Callithrix jacchus: one gene and its partners. The protein of the gene in region 4 binds, or shares a complex with, the protein of the main gene of each other region. Links are inferred from orthologs where the notes say so. Each region holds a gene or a part of one and is shown on either strand. Other genes may lie near its edges.

Region 1 (3,646 bases), on a different chromosome or scaffold from region 4:
CCATGATGGATAATTTGTGATGGACAGGAATCAGAAACTGGGACAACAGCAGCAGCTGAGTCCAGGGGTCAGTGTCTGGGAGTAATTTAGGAAAGTTTGGTGCTGACAGCTGTGTCTGGGACTTGAACGTCATGGCCAAACCAGCTCCTGGGCTCCTCAGCTGCTTCAGGCTAATGAACCTCTGGCCCAGGACACAAGCCGCAGCTGTGGTGTGGCTGAAGTCAGGGCCCCTGGAGGCCCAGGCTCGGCCTTGCTGCTTCCTTAGTAGTGTCAGTTAGACAAGTGGCTTAGGAAAAGAGGAAAGGAAACTAACATTCAGTGAGCGCACTGCCCTTTCTCAGCTGCCATCCTCACTGGTGAGGAGCGGAATGTTCCTATTTTATGTAAGCCCTGAAGGTAAACGCGTCATGCAAGCTCTATGACTGGGAAGGAGGAAGACAGAATTAGAACCCAGAGCTTCTGAATTCAAATCCCGGGCTGCTGGCCCCGAACTTTAGCGTTTCTGTAAAATGGTGACAGTAATACACTCACCCCGCACATGAAGTCCCACATTGAAGGTTCTAAACCCTTTCCTCCTTTCTCCCAACCTTGGTCCTGAAGAGCTGCGGCACCTCCTTCCCAGGAATGTAGTCATCGTATTTTGCCTCCCAACAGGTTTGTGGGGTCTGGGCCCCAGGAGGTGTCTTGAAGGGAGGGTATCAGGACTTCTGTTTTCCCTCTACCCCACTCCCCAGATCTTCTCCCGACTCTGGAGGGCCGACTCCCGCTTCTCCCTGGTTGTGACTGGCGGGCTGACAACAGCGGGTGTTCCCAGGGATAGATAAGGAACCCTAAGCTGGCCGGCCCAGCTCCAGGAGCCCCTTCCCCCACAGCCCAGGGCAGCCCCTTAGGTGCAGCGGCGTCGAGAGGCCGCTGGAGCTCCCAGCCCCTCCCTCTTCTCCGGGTCTGAGAGAGCAGCTCGCCGACCCCTCCAGCCCGGAAAGAGAGGGGGCGACTCGAGTCCGGGAGCGGCTCCTTGGAGACCCCGGAGAGTCCTGCGCGCCGCGCGGCCGAGCCCCAGAAATAGATCCCGGTTCCGGGGTTCCGGGAGCTGTCCAGCCCCGCGGGGTGAACTGCGAGAGAGTGTGGGCCAACGCCGGCAAGGCGGAGGGAGCCGCGGGCGCCCGGCGCGGGTGCGGCGGCTACTCCCCCTCCAGCAGCGGGCCCCGGGCGTCGCCCCCGCCCCCCACGTGGCCGCCGCCGTCCCAGCCCCTCCGAGGAAGCGGCGCGGCTTCCTGCGGCTCGGGCCGGGGATATAGGCGCCCCCACACCCGGGCCAGGCTCAGCGCCGCCGCAGCTCCCTCGCCTCCTTGCTGCACGATGGCCTCGCTCCGAGCGGAGCGCGCCGGCGACCCCCGGCTCCCGACGACCCGCGCTGGGCGGCCGGCAGCGCTCCGCCTCCTCCTCCTACTGGGCGGTGAGCGCGGCGCCGCGAGGCCCGGGCGGGAAGCGTAGGAGGCCCCGGAGGGGAGATGGGAGAGGGGCTGGATGGGCGAGGCGGGAATGGGCCCCGGGGTTTGGGCGCGGACCGACGGACAGAGCAGCACTGGCCTTCGGACGGTCCCTGACCTCACCTCGGGGCGGGCATAGCTCAAGCTGCTTCCCACCGGGGAAAGCTGGAGTGCGGGCCCCGGCTCCGCGGAGAGGGCAAGGGAGGCTGGGAGCTGGCCAGAGGGGAGGGGGCTTTGGGCCTGGGTGTGAGTGACAAGGAGCTGGTGCCAGGCCCTCCCTCCCCAGCTGGGATGTCCATGGGGTCTAGATTATTCCTCTTTTTCTTCCATGGTAGCCCTGCTTTCAGAGGGTCTCAGTCCCCCGCCCCCCCCGCAGACCCCACTTCTGGGGTCCCCGCTATGCCACCCTCCTCTCCTGCTTCTCCCCACAGCTGTCCTGAAGCCCCAGGAGACCCTGGCTCAGCCTCTTCCCACCACAGGCACACCGGGGTCAGAAGGTGGGTACCCAGGATGTGGAAGGGTAGCCGAGGGCAAGGACGAGAGCAAATTCAGTGGGGAGAGTCCCTTTCCCACGAGGCCCGCACAAGGCCCGCACAAGGCCCGCACAACCCCAACTGATGGCCCACTAAACTCCCCTCTGTTCTTTCTTGGGGTTCCTTGTGGTCTTTCTCCCTGTCTTCCCACAAAGTCCCTGCACAGCTCTGAACTGGCCCACCTCACAGGTGGGTGAGAAGACCCCAGGAAAAGGTGTACGTGGAACTTCTTATCAGGCTGGGATGGAAAGTGCTTAGCACAGGGAAGTCGTTACAGGATTCCTGAGCTGGGACTCTCCTCAGCCAGAACTTCTTGCTAGGGAAACTTTCTGAAGGGTTCGCACCCCCCCCCCCCCCCCCGTTTGAAGGCAGGCACCTGGGCAGGAGGGTTTGGAAGGAGGGGCAGGGCTGTGGTCATTGTGCAGCATCTGTACCTACAGTGAAGATGATGGAGAACTATGAGGCAGCTGTCCAACTTTGCTGGAATTATTACAAGTATCAAATGGATCCTATCGAAAAGGATTGGTGCGACTGGGCTGTGATTAGCAGGTAGGGGCGGTGCTGGAGGGTGGCTCAGGCCCGGGGTTGGGCCTGCTTATTGCAGGTAGACCTTGAGTGAGTGTGGGGCACTTCTCTCCCTGGGTCCACCCCCTCACTCACTCAAGTCCTCTCCTGCCTCTAGGCCTTATAGCACCCTGCGAGATTGCTTGGAGCACTCTGCGGAGGAGTTTAACCTGGGCTTCCCCAATCCCTTGGCAGAGAGGATCATCTTTGAGACTCACCAGATCCACTTTGCCAACTGCTCCCTGGTGCAGCCAACTTTCTCAGACCCCCCAGAGGATGTACTCCTGGCCATGATCATAGCCCCCATCTGCCTCATCCCCTTCCTCATCACTCTTGTAGTATGGAGGAGTAAAGACAGTGAGGCCCAGGTTTAGGGGGCCACAAGCTTCTCAACAACCATCTGACTCTGCTTCCCTACCCCCACAGGGCCTCCCTCCTCCCCTTCTCCCTTCTGTCACTCTCGCTCCCACCACAGATCCCTGGATTGCTGGAAGTGGAGGCCGGGTGGGGTCATGGCACAAGTTCTGTAATCTTCAAAATAAAACCTTTTTTTGTACAATGTCCTTCTCCTCATTTCAGTGGGACCTGTGTCGTTCCCTGCCACTCCCACAGGCTCTCAGCTCTGGGTAGCAGAAGCGGAAAAATCTGGATGGCCCAGATTCAGAAAAATTTGAATTCTGTTAATTTCACCTGCCCCCCTGCTCTCAACCTCCATGAAGGTCACACCCCTATATTCTTTCCTTCCAGGGGGGCCTTTCCTGCCCTTATCCAAACTCAGTTCCAGGAAACAAGCAGGAAGAGACTCCCTTCCGGTCTGGACAGCAGCTGGGGGCCTGCGACTGGGGAGGTGTGGGGGAAGGGGCAAGGGAGGAATCTCTGCTTGTGACTCTGCAAGAGGGACAGGAGGCTGCCCAAGGGGCCCTGACTGTTCCCTTCTTCATGCCTCAGTTTACTCCCAGGGCCTGGGAAGAGGAACCCTGGCTGAGCAACAGGAATCCATTCCTAAGGACCTCACAATTAAGGGCAAAAGCAGTAGGGGCTTCCTCTACTAGGTTCACC
Region 2 (3,500 bases), on a different chromosome or scaffold from region 4:
CTTTTCTTTTTTTTTTTTTTTTTTGAGATGGAGTTTCACTGTGTTACCCAGGCTGGAGTAAAATGGTGTAATCTCAGCTCATTGCAGCCTCCACCTCCTGGGTTCAAGTGATTATCTTGCCACAGCCTCCCGAGTAGCTAGAACTACAGTTGTATACCACCGTGCCCAACTAATTTTTGTATTTTTAGTAGACATGGGGTTTTCCATGTTGGGGTGGTCTTGAACTCTGGATCTCAGGTGATCTGCCCGTCTTGGCCTCTCAAAGTACTGGGATTACAGGTGTAAGCCACCACGCCCAGCCTTATTTTTGATTTCTAATTTTATTCCATTGTGGTCAGAGGACATTATACGATCCTTTAAAATCTATTAAGGCTTTAACAAAGTCTCATGTCTTTTTTGATTTCTTTTTCTTTTTTAAAAAATTATTTTATTTATTATTATTCTTTTCTGAGATCAAGTCTTGCTGTGTCACCCAGGCTGTAGTGCAATGGGATGATCATAGCTCATTGTAGCCTCAAACTCCTGGGCTTGAGCAATCCTTCCACCTCAGCCTCCCAAAGTGATGGGATTACAGGTGTGGGATGCCAGGCCTGCATCCATTGTTTTTGACCACACCTTTAGGCATGGACTTCTTCTCTGTTCCAAATATAGTCAGTTCCTTCTGCAAGAGCTGCGGCTGGACTGTACTGGACTGTATCTTGGCTCACGTAACCTCCCCCTCCTGAGTTCAAGCGATTCTCATGTCTCAGCCTCCTTGGCAGACACAGAGGAAGGAGCTCTGCTTCTTGCAGCAGGTGGTCTGGGCCATGCCCCTTACCAGGTGAATGCCTCCTTCCTGCCCGCAGTGGACACCTGCAGCCCGGGCTGACCCACACCACGTGGCTTCTTCTTACCCATGCTCACTCCTTGCAGCCTTACCCTACTCACTCTTGCCACCCTCCTGTCTCTCAGTAGCTCCATTGTGGTCTTGGGGCCACTCACAGGGTGGTCTGCACAGTCACTTCCTCAGCCGTGGTCCAGGCCTCCTGCTGCAGTGGGTGGGCTGAGCATGCCAGTTCTCTTAACCCTTATCCGCTTCTTCATGGGATCTCCTATAGCCCGGCTTCGGCTGCCAGAACACAGATGACAAGGCTGCGTACACATGTGCACATGTATACACACACACACACACACACACACACACACTAAGACATAGATGGCAAGGCTGTGTACCTATACACACACGCATACACACCAAGACACAGGTAGCGGGGCTGTGCGTGCGCCTATGCACTCACACACATGCACACATACACACACCCAGGACGCATATGCCTGGGCTCTCTCTTGAGTATCTGATGAGTTCATGAGTGCCAAAGCAGAGGTCAGCTGAGGGGAGGTTAGGGGCAGGGAGGTCCTGTGATGTGGAAATGAGATGACCGTGGAGACAGGCCCTGAAGGACAGCGGGCACTGCTCCGTGGGACGGAGGATGTTCCCCATGGGGAAATGTGTGGAGCCAAGGCGTGAGGTGGAAGGGGATGGGATATTTCAGTGGGCAGAGGTTGGAAGGACAGTGGGGAAATCCTGGGACAAGCAGCTTGTGTCAGACCCTGAGAAGGTCCACCATTCCCAATGCTGGGAAAGTGAGTCTCTGCAGTGGCCTTAGCCCCCGGTTTCCCAGAATTGGAGGGGGCTTTGAGAGGGCCTGGTGGTCCTTACTGGCCCAGAGCCCTGTTCTGCCACCCCTGCAGGCATTGGGATGGTCCCCGGGTCTTAGAGTCCTCAGGATGCTCCCAGACCCCAGGAATCCTAAACTGGAGCTGGAGCCTCTTTTCCAGTCCTAATCTGCCCGGGACCCTCTCACTACTCCCCCAAGGAGTCTGGCCCAGGGTATCACTGCCGACTCCCTCCCTGTGTCACTGCCTGTGAGGCAGTGAAGTGAAAAGGTGGACTTGTCCTGTCTTGGGGACAGGTCCCTATGCGGGAACCTCCTTTCTGCACTGACAGGTAGGTCAGGGAGGAGGGTGGAGGATTCTGCTGAAAAGGTCTCAGGCTTGCAAACAGAGCCTTATTAGTAAGTCCTCAAGTTACGGCCCCTCAGGCCTCCCGTGTCCTGGCATCCCCAGTGTGAACCACAGTGGAATTCTCATGGCTGTCCCCTTTCCAGGTGGGTGTCCCAGAGCAGGCGGCTGCAACGAGACAGGCATGTTGGAGAGGCTGCCCCTGTGTGGGAAGGCTTTCGCAGACATGATGGGCAAGGTGGACGTCTGGAAGTGGTGCAACCTCTCCGAGTTCATCGTGTGAGTGCCACTGCTGGGCCTGGGATCTGCTTTGCCCACGGCGCTGCCCACTGCCTGACCACCACCCGAACATGGTGTGACCGCACTCGACCCAAGCCCTCACCCATGCCCCACCAATACCCCACCATAGACTGCAGCCCTTCCATGCGCTGCCCCATACTTTGCCCAAGGCTTCTCCATTATCACCCAACACTCTGTCCCTGTTTCCGGCCACCCCACCCACATCCTGCTAGCACATCACTCACAGCCCCGCCCAGGCCTTGCCCCCACCGTGGCATTTGTGCCCCCTCACCCACAGCACCTTCCCAGCTTCCTATCCCTCATTCTGCATCCTCATTCTAACGTTCTAGCAGTTCAGCGCTGCCTCTGCTTCTCCCTCTCTGTTATTTGGGAATCCTCCCCATGTCCGCTTTTCCTCCTGAACCATATTAGTGCCCTGCCCCGGGAGTGTCCAGTTCTGGGGTTCCCTGGCTTGGGGGTGCCCTGCCTTCGGGGTGCTCTGCCTGGAGGGTGCCCTGCCCTGGGACTGTCCAGTTTGGGGGTTCTCTGATCTGGGGGTGTCCTGCCTGGGGGATGCCTTGCCTGGAGGGTGTCCTGCCTCTCCTTAAAGCTGGAGCTGGGTGGACATTGTCATGTGTGTCTTTCTCACAGCACCAGTCACAGCTGGGTCTGTCCTCAGTGGTCAGAGGACTTGGAGGAATTGGGTCCCTCTGACTTATACAAGGTGCAGTTGCGGACAACACCACATAGTGGAGGGAGGGCCCCTTGTTCTAGAAACTTCCCAAGTTTTTATCTCCTTACCTCCTTGGAAATGGCTCTCGGCCTCACCGCCCTCTGGCTTTGCAGTCTTGTGCCCCCTGCTGGTGGCTGCTGGCAGACCCAAGCTGCGCTGGCCTGTTAGCCGGCACATGCATGCTAGCACCCCAGCCCCTGCCCTCTGAAGAGACACTGACCCTGGCCGTGTCCTGGAAACCCTCCCTGGCCCTGGCCATTCTGGTGGCCCAGCAGAAGCTGGCTCCTTGAGACTGCCACATCTGCAGCCCCACCACGTGGGGGAACTGCTTGCTGAACCAAGTGGAATGGAATTCTGAGTCTGCTGGGAAGGGGTGCTGGGATTCAGGAAGGGATTGTCAGGCTCCCCCTGGTCTCAGTGGGCCTGGACACAGGCCTGAAGTGGACCCACGGGTGGGGAAGACGTCAGGGAGGAGGAGGTCATAGCT
Region 3 (3,500 bases), on a different chromosome or scaffold from region 4:
GTAGAAGGGCTTTTTGAGATGAAAACGAGATATATCAAGATAATTATTCAATAATTATCTTCCTGTTACAGAGGTAATAGTTGTAAAATATTGCTACTCTCTTAAGATATTTTGAAGCTCCTCTCCTTAACAGAATCTGCCTCAAAACTTCGATTTCTAATATCCAATTTGGCAATACCTCAAAAAGTTCAACCTAGAATTACTGTGTGATTCAGCAATTCTACTGTTACATATATGCCCAACAAAACTGAACACGGGTTTTCTAACAAACACGTGTACGTGGATGTTTGTAGCAGCACCATTTACAACAGCCAAAATGTAGAAACAGCCAAAATGTGCATGAGTGAGTGAGTGGATCAACCATGTGGTGTCTCTTAAATGCCCCTGGAGTTTTACCAGCCGTTAAATGGACCTCACTACAGTCAGAGGCTACACTAGGGATAAGTCCCATAAATATTATGATATGTGAAAGAAGCCAAACAGAAGTGGCTATGTTTTGTGATACCTAGAATAGTAAAATGCGTTGAGACGGAGTGAACTAGTGGCCAGCAGGGGTATTAGGGGAGAGAGGGGAGAAGGTGAGGGACAGGGACTGATTGGGATGATGAAGATATTTTGGAACTAGATGCTGGCAATGGTTGCAGGTCCATCCTAGCACTTTGGGAGGCCAAGGTGGGTGGATCACTGGAGGTCAGGAGTTCAAGACCATCCTGGCCAACATAGTGAAACCCCGTGTCTACTAAAATACAAAAATTAGTTGTAATTTTTTGTATTTTAGTAGACACAGGGTTTTACCATGTTGGGACAGATGTTATTCTGTGGTGGCACGCTCCTGTTATCCTGGCTACTCAGGAGGCTGAGGCAGGAGAATCACTTGAACCCTGGAGGCAGAGGTTGCACTGAGCCAAGACCACACTACTGCACTCCAGCTTGGGCGACAGTGAGACTCTGTCAAAAATAATAATAATAAAAGTAAAAATAAAATCCAAAGAATTAGACAGAAATGTGAAAGAAAAACTATATTCATACTTCTAATGAAGATGTTTAAATTTTTCAATTGTTCAGTTGCTTTAGGGGATGCATTTTAATTGAGGTTAAATTGTAAGTTAAAGAAAAAAAAATTAGGCTACATAGATTTACCTGAATTTCAATTCTCAGAACACTTTGGACTGTCCATTTTTAAAAACCCACTATTGTGATACACTTACTCCATTTGCCAACCTAAACTCATTAACATCAGTGTCTGAATGCAGGATGGTCTTGGCAGGTGTGTGTACACCTTATGCTACGAGTGATGGTCGTGCAGAAGCAGGTGTCTCAGAAAAGTAGTGAGATCTCAAAGGACTGAGAGACCTAGGAGGAGCTGGTCCTGGATGGACAGGGAGAGGAGGAAGGAGGCAGGAAAGGAACAGCGAGTGCTTCAAGGCTGGCAGTGTTCCTGTGCTTGGAGGGGAGGCCGAACATGTTCCTGATTACTGGCAGACTGAGACTTGGTGAGAAGTGCAGAAGGAGTTCAGTGCAGAATGGCACAATGGGAGCCACTGGAGAACTGTGGGGAGGGCTGGGAAGAGGCAGGCACAGTGGGCGAGCCAACAGCCATGACCGAGAAGGAAGAGGAGGAGAGTCGTTTAATCACAGATGTTAATGCACAGAAACGTTTTTATTTTCAAGATCACAAACAACATCGACCCAGTGGGAAGAATCCAAATGCGCACGAGGAGGACACTACGGGGGCACCTGGCCAAGATCTATGCCATGCACTGGGGCACAGACTCCAGGTAGGTGTGGGCGTGAGCAGGACGCTGCTTGACATGTTCCAGGCAGCTCTGTTTTCCTAAGGGAAAACAACCCGAAACCGTTTGCTGTGTTTTACAGCGAAAAAATGAGGAACTTGAATCAGAACCCTGGGCACGCCACGTGCAACATTCACAGATGCCTACTCCCTGTCCTGTTTTCCATTTACCTGCACTGAAAGGACGCTGCCATTTCTTCACTGTCTGAGTCACATCAATACAAGTTCTGGTTTTTCTTTCTCCCTTCTCACAACTCTTTCAGTTTCTTGAACTCTGTCCTCCTGGTTCTACTGCATCCTACTTATGGGAACTTGAGAAAGTGACCTCTCTGTGCCTGTTTCTCAGGGTTGGTCGGCCCTCACTCTTCTGTGATTTCAGTGCCCAGGCTCCGGAAATCACAGAACCTGACCTGAGAATCCTGAGGGATGAAGCATTTTGAGCCTTAGAATCAGCATCATGTTGTATGTGGTTTGCTGTTGGCTTTCAGCAGCAGACACTCGGGAATGCGCTGTGACCTGCTCTCACTCTTCTCTCACCTGGCCTGTCTGCCCTGCCTTCTTCCTTTTGTTTACCATCCCAAAAGATAATTCCCTTCATGGGCTCCAATTTTTTCTTGTCTTGTCTTGTCTTTTTTTTTTTTTTTTTTTGAGACAGGGGTCTCACTCTGTCAGTCATGCTGGAGTGCAGTGGTGTGATCATGTCTCACTGTAGCCTCTACCTCCTAGCCTCCAGCAACACTTCCTACTCAGCCTCCCAAGTGGCTGAGACCACAGGCATGTGTCACCACACCCTTCTAATATACATATATTTTTTTGTGGAGACAGGATCCCTCTTTGTTGCTGAGGCCAGTCTCAAACTCCCGGCCCCCAAGTGATCCTTCCATCTCAGCCTCCCAAAGTGCTGAGATTACAGGTTTGAGCCACCACCAGTTCTAGCCTGTTTTTTATACTTTAAATTATACCCCATGCTTTTCCACCAGGCGCCTCACCTCTGTCATCGCACACTCTGTGTGTTCCTCTCATTTAGAGGCTATTGCAAAGTCTTATTTGCTGCCTGTTCTAGCCAAATAATTTAGTAAAGTACCATTTGATTTGTGTAACCATGACATGCTGTTCCAAGCACCTGACGTAGCGGTTTTTAACATTCCCTTGGTTGAGTAGTATTTCTTTGTATTCAGTTGTTAGCCTGGAATTTTCTGCTTGGCTTTTTTTTGTTTGTGAAATTGTCTGCTTTAGAGCACAAACAGCTAGAGAACAAAAGATTCTATCTTTAGTTTGTTCTATATTGTATCCCATACAATTCCATATGCAAATGAGTGCTTTTCCAATGCGAGAGGAGTCAGAATAAAAGTGGGAGGGGGGAGATGATGTCTGAGGGTACAGAGTTTGAGTTCGGAATAAATTCTAGAAATCTGTCACCCAGCATGGAGACTGCAGTTAATAATAACATGTATTTCAGAATTGTTAGTAAAGTCGATTTTAAATGTTCCTACCACACACACACACACACACACACACACACACACACACACGGTTAGTGATGGGTATGTTGATTAGATTGATTCTTTCATTTCACAGTGTGGATATATATTAAAACACCATATTGTACTCCGTAAATTATTGTTTGTCAAAAATCCTTTTAAATATTCAAAATAAATAAGTAACCAGGTACGTTGGCTCATGCATCCCAGCACTTTGGGAGGCTGAA
Region 4 (3,500 bases):
CAGAGCCAAATTATGTCATTCAGTCAAATAAATATTATAGTCTATGGCTACACCCTGACAACGTGTCAGAGTAGGTTGCTCCTGGACTTCACAGGGTGGAAGCATTTGGAAATACACTACAGCAATTCTTGTCTCTCAGAATTAGGAACTAGTTTTTAGAGGCCATTTTTCATTAGCTCAGACTTGTATGTAGCATTAAAAATATTCAAATATTTTATTTAATGTTGTTCATTCCCTGTAACGTTATTTCAATAATGTGGATGATTTAGGGAATCTTTTATTTCTTATTTAAAAAAAATTGATTTTCACTAGTGAAGAATAATTTCTATTAAATTATAACGACATTTTTATGATATATAGACATTGATTCTCAAGAAATTGGTTGAGAACAATTTCCTTCCTTAAATAACTGGAGTCGGAAAATTTAAAATTAGAAGAATACTTACAGAAAATAAATGTAAACTTTATAATAAAAGATGCTATCAAAATTGTTTCTATCCATGCAAAATGCTTTAATACCTTTATCATTTGTTTTATAATTATTAAAATATCTATCTATCTATCTATAAGGAGCATTTCTGTTTGTAAGTCTAATTAAATTAAATTAAAATGTGTTAATAAGCTTCTTAATACTTTAAATTATAATGCTCTTAAACATTTGTAGTTTTAATCTATTTTAACATGCTGGGCAGGATGGCTGACACGTGTAATCCTGACCAACATGGTGAAACCCCATCTTTATTAAAATACAAATATTAGCTGGGTGTGGTGTGTGCACCTGTAATTCAGCTACTTGGGAGGCTGAGGAGGGAGGATCACTTGAACCTGGGAGGTCTAGCTGCAGTGAGCGGAGATTGTGCCACTGCACTCTCGCCCTGGTGACAGAGTGAGACCCTGTCTTTAAACAAACCATTAATCAAATCTTTAAAATAAAATCCCCAAAACCATTAATCAAATCTTTAAAATAAAATTATTGAATTAATATGTAGTTTTAAAATAAATTCTCTGTTGAGAGCCATCTACGTTTATATCATAAATATTCATGAATTATATTTCTTTTTTTTCTATTGCAGTTTATGCTATATAGCATATTTCATTTTGGCACAATGATGGAGAAAAAGTGTACTCAGTATTTTCTGGTTCTCTTGCCTTTTTTTGTGGTAAGCATAACAATATATGATTATTTCTGTTTTTGCTTCCAATACACCTGTAATTGATAAAGAAAATTAAGGAAGTTACTAGATACATAAATTAATCACATTTTTGTATCTGATTGATACAGCAATAATGAGTTTTCATTCAGTGTATGCTTTTAGTCCTATAACAGGTATAGAATGAGAGGAAGTAGAGGGAATCAGAATGGGAAAGATCAATAGACACAAATGCATAAGACACCAGAGGACTATGCATAGTTTGTATCAGAGATACAAACGGAATGACACTATAGTACAGGTTTTACATAGTAGCGAAAATAGTTTCAACCAGACTTGTTGATTCACAGTTAGATCTGTTTAAAAAAAAGTGATTCTCCCATTGATAGTTATCCCGTTCTGCCAGCTGATTGACATATCTTGATTGCAAGGCAATTTAGAACCATGCAGTGTGTTTTAAATTAATTTCCTCAATCCTTCATTTAAATAAGCAGACAATTGATGTTAAATTTGTGGCAGGTGCGTGCATAAGTGTGCATACTCATCTGCCCCTCTACATGTATACACTGGGGATATGGGGCCCAAGGTGGAAGGCAGACAAAGAAGACAAAAACTCAGCTGCTCTGCTTGAGAATCATATACTTCATACACTTAATTTTATTTTTATCATAGTAATGAATTACCCATATTTTTCTCTGCCTCAAATAGTGACTGTGCTCTTATCTCATTACAAACACGAGAAACCAAGAGACATACTCTCATTTAGTCCTGTGACAGCAAAGAATTTGCTTGAGGTGTTTCTAGCAAATACCACAAAGATGGAAACAAAGAAACCCAGAGAATACAGAAAACCTAAATGAGAAAAAGAAAACAAGCAAACCCAAGACTACATTCCTGTCAGCATTTGTATTTGAAAACATTTTCAAGTCTAGGAGCAGTCCAAATTCTGCACTTCTTAGATAGTATCTTTAAGTTGACTTCAGCTCACACCCTCCACTGAGCAAGCTGCACAGAACATTACTTTCCTGCAGGCAATTCTGTAATAGATTACCAACTGATTATTGTAATTTAAGATATTATGACTCTTCCTCTTGAATTCGTGTAAGATAGTATATAAATCAGAGTCTGTATTCCAAGTAGGGATAAAAATGATATTGATTTATACAGAAGGATAAAAATGATATGGATTTATGCAATTCTATAGACTTTTTGAGAAGATCAGCAGTTATGTGGTTTTCAAATATATTACTTTTCTTTATGTCACACATTTCCTTTATTACTTGTGCAACACTACCACTGCATAAATTTTTATTTGGAAATAAATAAAGGAATGAAAGAGTTAATGATGAATGGTGGTCACACAATGGTAAAACTTGACTGATGCTACAACAGTGAGGGAATGTCATTTTCACTTTACTAAATTCAACTTCCTGCTAGAAAACAGAAATACGGCAATGAGGGAACAAAGGAAGGATATGAAGATAACAGCTTATGGAATATAGTTAATATAAATTATGCAAAAATTACTACTAGAAATCGGTTAAAAAGAGGTTTATTCAGGCTTCCTATTATAAATCAGAAAAAATGTCATGTGGAAATTAAAGTAGAATTGAAGCTTAAAATAGTGCTACTATATTGAAAGAAAATAAATACATAACTTGTCCAAAAACTTTATTGATGTGCATAGAAGAAAAATTTCTATTTGCCAACATCACAAAAATTTCTATTTGCCAATATTTTTATTATCAAAATATTATAACAATGACCATAAATTGTGAGTAGTTCCATGTGCCAGATATATCTCCTCTGTCATCTTGATGTTATTTTATACTATTTTACAATAAGGAAGAAGAGGGGAGGGGACAGACAATATCTTGCCTTCATTCACAGAGCCAGGAAAAACACTGGGGTCAGATTGGAAGACATCTCTGTCTACATTCCAGAACATGTATTAAGGACTATCCTGGAGCTGGCTACCACAGGCTTCTGAGAACCAACTGTGCTTTCCCACTCTGCCAATGGTGACATCTTGTTAGTGTTTTGAAAGTGGACACGGAGGGGATATTTATACCATGAAAATAGCAAACATTACAAATGGGAGATTTTCCCCAGAGAACAAGTTCATCTTCCAGTACATCACTGCACTGGCTGTTTTCCACTGTGACAGACTGCCTTTGACAAAGACATTTTTATAATCCTTTTCATGAAGTTGATACTGTTTTTTTAATCCCTCAGATTCTTGTCACAGCAGAATTAGAAGAGAGTCCTGAGGACTCAGTGCAGTTGGGAGTTACTAGAAATAAAATCATGACAGCTCAATATGAATGTTACCAAAAAATTATGCAAGAT
Region 5 (3,979 bases), about 120 Mb from region 4:
CATTTCTCAATAGCCCTGGCCTCGGACTGGCAAGGCGTCTGTGAAAGGAAGACACAAATCCAGACATTTCTTCCTGCAGCTGAACACACAGAGAGGGTAAACAAACACACTGATTAGCAAATGAGAATGCTTCAGATTTGGACTCCGGCATGAGAACTGCGTCCGGATTTAAAACCACGTGGCGATCTGAAGCAGTCACACAGCACTTCCTACGGTGTCCCGTCATTTCCAATTCTACTTCTATTTATAGAGTCATATATTTCAATTAATGTCGCAGCCATTAAAAAAAAAAACAAAAACGCACCTTCCACATGACAGCCAAGGCAGGCAAGCGTTTCCCAGGACAGATGACTGAGTTCCTGTGTGACAGCACCAGCCGGCACTCCCTGAGTGCAGCTGGACTCGAAACCAGGGCTGCCATGCATTCTTCCTTCCTGATTAGCAAACAGCTTTTTGGTGTCTCTACACAAACCTTTCAAAATGCATGTGGTTACGTTAGTCTCCAGCAAACAGAACAGTGCATAGGATGCTCGGAGGGAAAAGAACTACATATGGATCCTAAGGTTTGTTTTTTTGTTTTTTTGAGACGGAGTTTTCACTCTTCTCACCCAGGCTGCAGTGCAGCGGCATGACCTCAGCTCACTGCCACCTCTGCCCTCCCAAGTTCAAGCAATTCTGCCTCAGCCTCTTGAGTAGTTGGTATTACAGGTGCCCACCACCCCATGCCTGGCTAATTTTTTTGTATTTTTAGTAGAGTCAGGTTTTGCCATGTAGGCCAGGCTGGTCTTGAACTCCTGACCTCAGGTGATCCACCCACCTCAGCCTCACGAAGTGCTGGGATTACAGGTGTGAGCCATCATGGCTGGGTGAACTGTGAACTGAGATTCTCCCATGGCTGGGAGAATCTCAATAACTACCTAAGACAAATAGCTTGATTGTAAAATTGTCACAGATAAGTTCTTAAACCTGCACACTAGCGTTCTTAAAAAAAAAAAAATTCCACGTTGCCATTCTGGGTAGCAGAATCTTCATCACCAAGGAGATCTGGCTAGTGCTAGAGCCTGTGAAGGAAACAGCCTGTGCTCAGTAATTCCACGAATTACAGCTGGTCTCCAAATGACATTAATTTACCGATAACCTCATAACCTTCCAAGATATAACATTAGCCAGGCCACTCAAAATGATGTTAAAATTACAGGACTTTGGACTTCCAGCAGAACATGAATAGTTTTCTTGGTAAACAAGGAAGGTCTGTATATGTGATCGTGACATAGCGTTTTATTTACACAAGCCTTAGAGGGTGCAGTCTCTGGACACTAGTAAAGAACATTTATTTATTTGGTTATTTATGTGAAAAATATTCCACAGCCCAGCTCTCTGCCTTGCTAACAAAGAAATGTTTGTCTCTTAGGAAACGAAAACAGTGAAGGTCACGTCAAGCCAAATGGATCCGAACACAAGAGGAGGGAAGATTCCGCTGAGATGTGGCTTTCCACTTAACTTCAGCCAAAACACTCGAGTGGCAAGATTCGCTTTCAGATAATATTATGTTGGCCTCGGAGGATTCCATGCCGATCTGCCACTCCTTGGAGAGGTTTACAAACAGGGACCAGAAATCCATGGCTCCCAAGAAGCTCGGGCCCCTCTCCTCGCCGGGCCACGAACTGCTCCCCCAGCTACAGAAACAGCGCTGGCGGTCACTGCTTGCCCAGTGCCAGTGACAGGCCAAGGGGACTTGTGCGGCAGGTGCCTCTGACCAACATCACTGTTTCTGGGAAAAGGCCACATATACTAGAAACAACTGCTCTGGCCTTCCCAGGGGCACTGGGTTTTCTCCCACGCCAGTAATCTATTATTCGGTTTCCGTTGAAAGGTAGCTAAATACACGGAACGCAACAACCAGTGTAGAAGGGGCTTGAGTCAGCATGTTGGGAGCGCACTGCAGATGGGGGCAGTGAGCGGGGCCGTGCCTTGCTGAGTGTGTGGCCAGTTCCTGTGGCCACCGGGTAGTTGATAATCTCCACTCTTCCCGCAGGTGGAAAGCCGAGCGCGTTCCACCACTTCACCAAGGGTCCCGTCCTCTAAATTTCTATTAGCCGGAAGTGCCAAGTTAACAAGCAAACCAAAAGAAAAAAGAAAAAAAAAAAAGCGATGGAAATGCCTCGAGAAGGGAGGGCCTTATTTCTGCAAAAGGCATCATTAGCAAACAAGCGACTGCTCTGTCTGCGAGAGATCAGTGTTGACTCATCTCCAGACGAACGGTCAGTGGCTCCGACTCCCGCACACCGAGTCCTCTGCGAGGCGCCTGCCTGCAGGTTTTGCCACGCGGGACTGCCTAGGGAGGGGAGCCTGCGCTGGCGGTCACCGCGGCGCACAGCCTGGGAAACCGAGGTGCGGGGCTGGGGAACCCCGCGTCCTGTTTCTCTCCCGGAAACAAGTTCTCCGGTGCGCGCAGCTGACGCCCCACGCCTTTCAGAACGCCGGCTCTCCGACTTCCCCAAAGCCGTCCCTTCCGCGGCAAGAGGCGCAACTCCGGTCCGCACCCTCTGATTCCCGGTGCCCTGGGGCCTCCCGCCTGGAACCCGGGCTGCCCAGGTTCAACGGCAGCGGACCGCTGCGCCCTCCCTCTCCTCCCCTCCCCTAGAGGACGCCGGCGGGCCGGGGGAAGAGAGTTCGACCCGGATCCCCGACCCTACTCACCCAGGAGCAGCCAGAGGCAGCGCCGCGGGAGGCGGCACAGGGCCCGGGCCATGGTGCACAGCGGAGCCCAGTCCACCCACCACGCGCCCCGCCGAGGACTGAGCCCGCCGCGGCGCCCGCCCGGAGGAGACGTGCCGGGGGCGGGGGCGGGCGCGGGCGCGGGAGGGGTGGGAGGCGGCGGCCGCGTGGCCCGGCCCACTGTGGCTCCCCAGGTGGGTGCCAGGGCCGGGGGCGCGCGAGGCCGGGAAAACTTTGCAGGGGAGTCGCGCGGGCGTCTCCGGGGGGGACGGCACACTTGGACTTCGAGTGAGGCCTTCTGAAATGTTCTCACTTTTTAAACTAGGGAGGGTCTCCTAGGCGACTCCGAGGGAGCGGCACCTTGGTCTCCACCTGGGCATCTTCCCCTCCTCCTCCTCCGAGGTTCTCCTGCCTGGGGTTTGCTTTGCAAACAGGCTGAGATCTCCCCACCGCGTTTACCTCTCCTCCCAGGTGCAGGCGCTGGGGAGCGTTGGCGTCACCTCCCCCCCGCTTCCCCGCCAGGCGCCTGGGGAAGACCCCTAATAACCCAAGATGGCGCACACTCCCAGGCCCTGGAATGCTGCTCCAGATCTGCAGGATGAGTGGGTGGGAAGAGGCCGGGGGCTGGAGGGAACGGGGCTCTTTGGGGAGATTGAGATGGCCTGGGGGTCTCGCTGTTGATGGGTAGCGAGCGCCTGGCAGGAGGTTTGTGAGGGTCTGGGCAGAGAGTCCTTAGAGACGAGGTTTGCTTTGGGGACCGTCACTCTGGCAGCTGCATGGAGAACTGATGGGGGATCTTGGGTGCATTCCTTTATCTAAAGCGGTGAGAGGAGGGCGCTCTGGAGATGGTCTGGGAAAGCCTGGGGAGGGGTAAGTTCTGGAAGGCACAGGCCTGACCTGGGCTCTAAGGGCATTACTAGTGGCTGGATTTCACCTTGCAGTGGGTTCCTTCTTGCAATAACCTGTTCTGAGAACTCTTAGCAATAGTAAATTTATACTCATGCTAAAGAATGCACCGCCTCTGGAGGGGGACGGATCACCACCCTAGCGTTGTGGCCACAGCTGTCTCTCTTGTGGAAGTTGCAGTCACACGGCACTGCTGAGTGACCAACAGTTCCTCAGCAGTCAGTGGCTGAGCGGCTGCTGCCATCTGCTGTAAGCTCAGAGAAGGGGAGACAGCTGACAGGGAGGCCATCCACCAGCTCTTCTAACACAGGCTAGGAGGGCCCTCGGGGCCAGCATGCCTTCTCCCCCACTGCGC
Region 6 (4,215 bases), on a different chromosome or scaffold from region 4:
CTACCAGCATAAACATGTGCTCAACTTTAACCAGAATTTCTACTTCTAGGAAGGTGTCCTATAGACACATCTGTGGGCTCAAGGCAGCAATTCATGGAAAGACTGAAAATCAACTAAACTCGCATTAATAGCAGATGAAGTGAATCACAGAACACCTGCATGTTGGAGGAGAAGGTCCAACCATAGGAAAGCATGGGGTCTCCGATGTGAGGGCCACAGGGCTGTGACACCTGTCACCCACTGGTCACCAGGGTTGATTCGGCTGATGAGGCTGGGGGGGCTGGGGGGTGGGGTGGGGGGGGTGGCGAGTGTCCCATTCCTTCCCCACGTTCCCTGTGCATCCCCCCCGAAGTTGCATGCTCCGTTGAAGTCGAAGAGGATGGAGGATTGGGCTTTGAGTAGCTTCACTCCTCCACCAGGTCATCCGAAACAGCTCTTGGGAAAGAATGGGGCAGGTCTGCGCACACGGATATGTGTGACTCGGGCCGCGCCTTGGTATGCCCAGGTTAGGTCAGGTGAGGGCTCCCACCCAGACAGGGGTAGGGGTCTCGAGTGGGTGGCAATGTTGAGGGGAGTCTCACGTTTCACTTGCTTAAATTTATTTCTTTCTTTCTTTTTTGAGATGCAGCTTCGCTCTTGTTGCAGGCTCGAGTGGAATGTCCCGATCTCAGCTCACCTCCACCTCCACCGGCCTCCCACATAGCTGGGATTACAGGCTTGTGCCACCAAGCCTGGCTAATTTTGTATTTTTCGTAGAGACAGGGTTTCTCCATGTTGGTCAGGCTGGTCTCCAACTCCTGACTTCAGCTGATCCACCCGCCTCGGCCTTCCAAAGTGCTGAGATTACAGGCGTGAGCCACGACAGCCGGACACTTGTTTAAATTTCTTACAAAAATCGTGCTATACTTTGGTCCATGGTTGGAGCGGCGGGGGGAGGGGGTAGGTAGAGCCTTTTAGGAGCACAGCCCGGGGTTGGGGGTACCGCGACAGAGAGTGGAATGGACAGCCCGTTGTGGAACCGCACAGACTCGCTGGTCGGGCCGTGGGTCCACCGGTTCAGACCCTGGAGAGTGGGACCGCCCGGACTCGGGAAGTGGCCCCAGTCCGCCCCAGCCCTGGGATCAGCTCGGATGACTGCTCGTCCCCCAGAACTCCGCTTCAGTCTGGGAAAGTCCGGCCCCCGCGGGCTCGGGGCTGCGTCCCCACGGGAAGGCGCGGGAGTGAGGCTGGTGCCCCGCCATCCCGGGCGGTCTCCGAGCGCTCCCAACGGGATCAGGACCCTCCACCGCCCCTTCGCTGCGCCCGCGGAGGAGGACCACGCGGCTGCAGCCCCCCTCCCCGCCCCGGAAGGTGGCAGGGCTTGCGGGGGGCGGGGGGGGCCCGCCCAGTCCGCGCGTCCGGCTCCGCCCCTCGCTGGAAAGGCTACGTATTCAGCTCTCGAGGTGCCATCCCGGGCAGTCACTCCGCTCCAGGTCGGACCCCCAACCTGCCCAGCCCGCTCCGCCTGCGACCCAACCCGCGGCCGCCCCCAGACACTTTGCCAGAGTCGCGCCAGAGGCCTGCGCCCCGACGGACGCCCGTGCCCAGCTACCACGCCCACGCCCGGCGACCCCCGACCGCGGAGGGCTCCCCGAGGTGCTGGCGGAGGGGGTGGCTCGCCGCTCAGGCTGCCCCAACCTATCTGGCTCACTGCCACCTCCCTTGCAGCCCTGCCCGCCATGGCCCGGATCCCGACAGCAGCCCTGGGTTGCATCAGCCTTCTGTGCCTGCAGCTCCCGAGCGTGCTGTCCCGCAGCCTGGGCGGGGACCGGCGTCCAGTCAAACCCAGGTGAGTGCGGGTCTTGGGCCAGCCCACCCCTCTGGCCCCCCCTCCGGGAAGCAGAGTGCAGGGGGCATGGGTGCCGCCCTCCCTCCACCCCCACCTACTACTAGGGCTCACCTCCCACGCGAAGGCTCCCCCTCCCCCCCACCCAGGCCTTCCGCAGCGCCTCAGCAGGGCCAGAGGCCCTTCTTTCTCTGCCTCTCTACACAGGGCAGTTGCTTCTACACACACACACACACACACACACACACACACACACAGCAGCCCCTCACCTGGAGCTGTGTGCTGGGGGAGGGGAGGCTGGCGATATCCCCAGGCTGTCACCACCCTAAAGGGAGAGCAGAAGCCAAGTCACCCTGAGCCCTGAGAGTCGTGACCGGCAGAGGCTGGGCCTCGGGGTGGCCTTTGCCCAAGGAGGTGCTGGCTCCCGGCACATGTGACCCAGGCCACTGAGATGGTCCGGGGGACCGGGCTTCCCCTGGCAGTGCTCCAGGGTGTGTGTGGGTGGGTGAGGGCCATGGGCTTCCCCTGGCAGTGACCCAGAGCTGCGTAGAGGCAAACGTGGGTAGGTTTGGGGTCTCTGAAAGTCTGAGTCATTGGGTTAACATTCTCCATCTGCCTCTGCAGGGAGCTCCCAGCCCGGACTTCCAGCAGCCTGCAGCCTAGTCACCCTGCACCCCGACCTGTGATCCGGAATCTTCACCAAGCCCTCCAGCCACAAAGGGGTGCTGGCCTGGTCCTTGCTATGGGTCAGCCTCTCCGGGATGGTGGTCACCAACACTCGGGCCCCCGAAGACACTTAGGCGCCCAAAGACCCCGAGCCCAGCTCCTTCGGGTGGGCTGTGTACTGGGTACCTGCCAGGTGCAGAATCTCAGCCACCGCCTGTGGCAGCTCATGGGACCGGCTGGCCGGCAGGACTCAGCTCCTGTGGACCCCAGAAGCCCCCACAGTTATGGCTGAGGTGGGGCTGGGCCACACGCCTGCCCATCCCAGCTTGGGTGCTATGCCCCCGTCCAGAACTGCAGCTGGGCCCCATCCCCAGCTCTGTCCTTCAGAGCTGCAGACAGCAGGGCCTGTAGCAAGAATACCTGCACAGTTTTGCACACATAAACCCTTGCACACGTGTAGACCAAGGCTGGTCTACATGCAGTGCTGGCACGTCAAAGAGCCTGAACACCCTGAAACTGTGAACACTCGGGGGACGGCTGCCAGACACAGTTGGTGGCAGCACCAGAGAGCAGAAGCCAGGCCCTGAACACACAGGGCCACCTCTGGGCCAGGAGGGGAGAGAGGCTAAATTAGCTGGAGTCGCCCCTCCACTGCTGGTCCAGTCAGACTGAAGCCCGGCCTTGTGCCCTTCCACATGCCTGCCTGGCCCAGGGTCCCAGCCTCTTCCTCCCCAAGTCTTTGAGACAGGAGGGGGAGTGCGGGGGCAGGGATGCTGTGGCCCCTGGGATTGGGTGAGGGGATGGTGGCCTTCCAGAGGTCATGAAGGGACCTCTGTGGCTCCAGCTGCCAACTCGAGCCCAGACTGAGGTGGCCATGGAGACCCCACCTGGATCCCCTGTGGGAGGCCAGGGAGGGGACCTTAGAAGTTCAGGAGCCACCCCAAGCCATTCTGGGACAGGGACACCCCTTCCTACACCAGGACAGGGCAGGGCTGGGTAGGGCAAGATCCCCCAGCCCAAATAGACCCACCCCACCTCAAGAGGGGTGAGACCCTTGTTGGCAGCCAGACAAGGGTGGGGATCTACAGGCAATACAGGCCCCCCACCACCACCCGGTGTGGGGAACCTGTGGGACCAGGTGTGGGGGCAGCAGTCGACTTGCCAAGAGCCAGGGAGGGCAGCCCCACCCCAACTGACAGCAAGAACAAGAACCACCGCCGGTCTGCCCAGGGGGGATGGGGAACTTAACACTGTGTGCCACTCAGGCTTCCCATTCATCCGGCAGAACACAGAGTTCAGAAAGAGTTCCTTCTGCTACTAGGCAAATGCTCAGCACTTGATTTGCAAATGTTTGCTAGGGTCACCATGATCACCCCAAATCTAGAGGCCACGGCACAGGGCTCAGGACATTCCCCCACAGGGCCACCCCTCAACTCTTGCCTCACAATGGGAGGGTCCTGGCCGCGCCTACCACGATCACCAGGTCCAGGTAACTGACCTGTGCTCCAAGAGGCCCTGTGGGCACAGTCCAGGCTTGTCCTGCCCTGTGGAGGCCTCCATGCCCTGGGAGATGGACTAGGATTGCAGCAGAGGTGGTCCGGGTGGTGGGCCACACAGCAAGGCCGTTAAGGCCAGCTCCCTGGGAGCAGTACTGGCTCAAGTGGGGTCTGAAGATGGCTTCTCTCGGGGAAGGGGTGCCCTGGGAGTGCCAAGGCCCAAGGTGC

What was found.
Region 1: the proteins of CALCRL (region 4) and RAMP2 are in contact, whole or in part, in a crystal structure (PDB 3AQF), measured with the Homo sapiens proteins. The link is inferred for Callithrix jacchus from reciprocal best matches to the Homo sapiens genes CALCRL and RAMP2. Residues at the interface, in NP_001258680.1 of Homo sapiens: Arg38, Asn39, Ile41, Met42, Thr43, Gln45, Tyr46, Glu47, Tyr49, Gln50, Lys51, Ile52, Met53, Gln54, Trp69, Asp70, Gly71, Arg119; in NP_005845.2 of Homo sapiens: Trp86, Ile89, Tyr93, Ser94, Arg97, Leu109, Gly110, Pro112, Glu117, Ile120, Phe121, His124, Gln125, Phe128, Ala129, Cys131, Ser132, Leu133, Val134.
Region 2: the proteins of CALCRL (region 4) and RAMP3 are in contact, whole or in part, in a cryo-EM structure (PDB 6UVA), measured with the Homo sapiens proteins. The link is inferred for Callithrix jacchus from reciprocal best matches to the Homo sapiens genes CALCRL and RAMP3. Residues at the interface, in NP_001258680.1 of Homo sapiens: Arg38, Asn39, Met42, Thr43, Gln45, Tyr46, Glu47, Tyr49, Gln50, Met53, Trp69, Asp70, Ser117, Arg119, Thr120, Phe228, Leu231, Ile235, His238, Thr239, Val243, Val245, Lys249, Gln250, His251, Trp254, Tyr255, Phe257, Leu258, Phe262; in NP_005847.1 of Homo sapiens: Trp56, Cys57, Leu59, Phe62, Ile63, Tyr66, Glu67, Thr70, Cys82, Tyr83, Pro85, Asn86, Pro87, Leu88, Gln90, Ile93, Thr94, His97, Arg98, Cys104, Thr105, Val106, Asp107, Arg108, His110, Leu111, Glu112, Asp113, Pro114, Val118.
Region 3: the proteins of CALCRL (region 4) and GNB1 are in contact, whole or in part, in a cryo-EM structure (PDB 6UVA), measured with the Homo sapiens proteins. The link is inferred for Callithrix jacchus from reciprocal best matches to the Homo sapiens genes CALCRL and GNB1. Residues at the interface, in NP_001258680.1 of Homo sapiens: Lys167, Ser168, Ile394, Arg397, Asn398, Gln401; in NP_001269468.1 of Homo sapiens: Arg52, Phe292, Ala309, His311, Asp312.
Region 5: the proteins of CALCRL (region 4) and RAMP1 are in contact, whole or in part, in a cryo-EM structure (PDB 6E3Y), measured with the Homo sapiens proteins. The link is inferred for Callithrix jacchus from reciprocal best matches to the Homo sapiens genes CALCRL and RAMP1. Residues at the interface, in NP_001258680.1 of Homo sapiens: Asn39, Met42, Thr43, Gln45, Tyr46, Glu47, Tyr49, Gln50, Lys51, Ile52, Met53, Gln54, Thr68, Trp69, Asp70, Gly71, Arg113, Arg119, Thr120, Phe228, Leu231, Ile235, Thr239, Val243, Ala244, Gln250, Trp254, Tyr255, Leu258, Phe262; in NP_005846.1 of Homo sapiens: Trp59, Ile63, Tyr66, Arg67, Ala70, Phe83, Trp84, Pro85, Asp90, Phe93, Leu94, His97, Gly98, Phe101, Arg102, Cys104, Pro105, Ile106, Ser107, Gly108, Arg109, Ala110, Val111, Arg112, Asp113, Pro114, Ile118, Leu119, Phe122, Ile123.
Region 6: the proteins of CALCRL (region 4) and ADM2 are in contact, whole or in part, in a cryo-EM structure (PDB 6UVA), measured with the Homo sapiens proteins. The link is inferred for Callithrix jacchus from reciprocal best matches to the Homo sapiens genes CALCRL and ADM2. Residues at the interface, in NP_001258680.1 of Homo sapiens: Val36, Thr37, Lys40, Asp70, Gly71, Trp72, Asp90, Tyr91, Phe92, Gln93, Asp94, Phe95, Asp96, Pro97, Ser98, His114, Ala116, Ser117, Thr120, Trp121, Thr122, Tyr124, Thr125, Asn128, Thr131, Lys134, Val135, Ala138, Leu139, Leu141; in NP_001240774.1 of Homo sapiens: Leu106, Arg107, Val108, Gly109, Cys110, Val111, Leu112, Gly113, Thr114, Cys115, Gln116, Val117, Gln118, Asn119, Leu120, Ser121, His122, Arg123, Leu124, Trp125, Gln126, Leu127, Met128, Gly129, Pro130, Ala131, Gly132, Arg133, Gln134, Asp135.

The regions. Positions count from the first base shown.
Region 1 is NC_133506.1:121,132,029-121,135,674, reverse strand, and holds RAMP2 (receptor activity-modifying protein 2), read left to right. Parts: upstream 1-1,323; 5' UTR 1,324-1,359; coding exon 1,360-1,456; intron 1,457-1,921; coding exon 1,922-1,987; intron 1,988-2,463; coding exon 2,464-2,572; intron 2,573-2,705; coding exon 2,706-2,961; 3' UTR 2,962-3,146; downstream 3,147-3,646. UniProt on the Homo sapiens protein: Accessory protein that interacts with and modulates the function of G-protein coupled receptors including calcitonin gene-related peptide type 1 receptor (CALCRL) and calcitonin receptor (CALCR). Required for the transport of CALCRL to the plasma membrane.
Region 2 is NC_133512.1:13,234,519-13,238,018, forward strand, and holds part of RAMP3 (receptor activity-modifying protein 3), read left to right. Parts: intron 1-2,147; coding exon 2,148-2,280; intron 2,281-3,500. UniProt on the Homo sapiens protein: Accessory protein that interacts with and modulates the function of G-protein coupled receptors including calcitonin gene-related peptide type 1 receptor (CALCRL), calcitonin receptor (CALCR) and G-protein coupled estrogen receptor 1 (GPER1).
Region 3 is NC_133508.1:39,883,069-39,886,568, reverse strand, and holds part of GNB1 (guanine nucleotide-binding protein G(I)/G(S)/G(T) subunit beta-1), read left to right. Parts: intron 1-1,671; coding exon 1,672-1,778; intron 1,779-3,500. UniProt on the Homo sapiens protein: Guanine nucleotide-binding proteins (G proteins) are involved as a modulator or transducer in various transmembrane signaling systems.
Region 4 is NC_133507.1:41,496,496-41,499,995, forward strand, and holds part of CALCRL (calcitonin gene-related peptide type 1 receptor), read left to right. Parts: intron 1-1,073; 5' UTR 1,074-1,076; coding exon 1,077-1,160; intron 1,161-3,386; coding exon 3,387-3,500. UniProt on the Homo sapiens protein: G protein-coupled receptor which specificity is determined by its interaction with receptor-activity-modifying proteins (RAMPs). Together with RAMP1, form the receptor complex for calcitonin-gene-related peptides CALCA/CGRP1 and CALCB/CGRP2.
Region 5 is NC_133507.1:159,155,066-159,159,044, reverse strand, and holds the start of RAMP1 (receptor activity-modifying protein 1), read right to left. Parts: upstream 2,801-3,979; 5' UTR 2,753-2,800; coding exon 2,701-2,752; intron 1-2,700. UniProt on the Homo sapiens protein: Accessory protein that interacts with and modulates the function of G-protein coupled receptors including calcitonin gene-related peptide type 1 receptor (CALCRL) and calcitonin receptor (CALCR). Required for the transport of CALCRL to the plasma membrane.
Region 6 is NC_133502.1:219,044,239-219,048,453, forward strand, and holds the start of ADM2 (protein ADM2), read left to right. Parts: upstream 1-1,415; 5' UTR 1,416-1,635; intron 1,636-1,707; 5' UTR 1,708-1,718; coding exon 1,719-1,828; intron 1,829-2,449; coding exon 2,450-2,783; 3' UTR 2,784-4,215. Other genes in the region: uncharacterized protein LOC118147770, read left to right, coding at 50-64. UniProt on the Homo sapiens protein: Intermedin/ADM2 is a peptide hormone that plays a role as physiological regulator of gastrointestinal and cardiovascular bioactivities mediated by the CALCRL-RAMPs receptor complexes.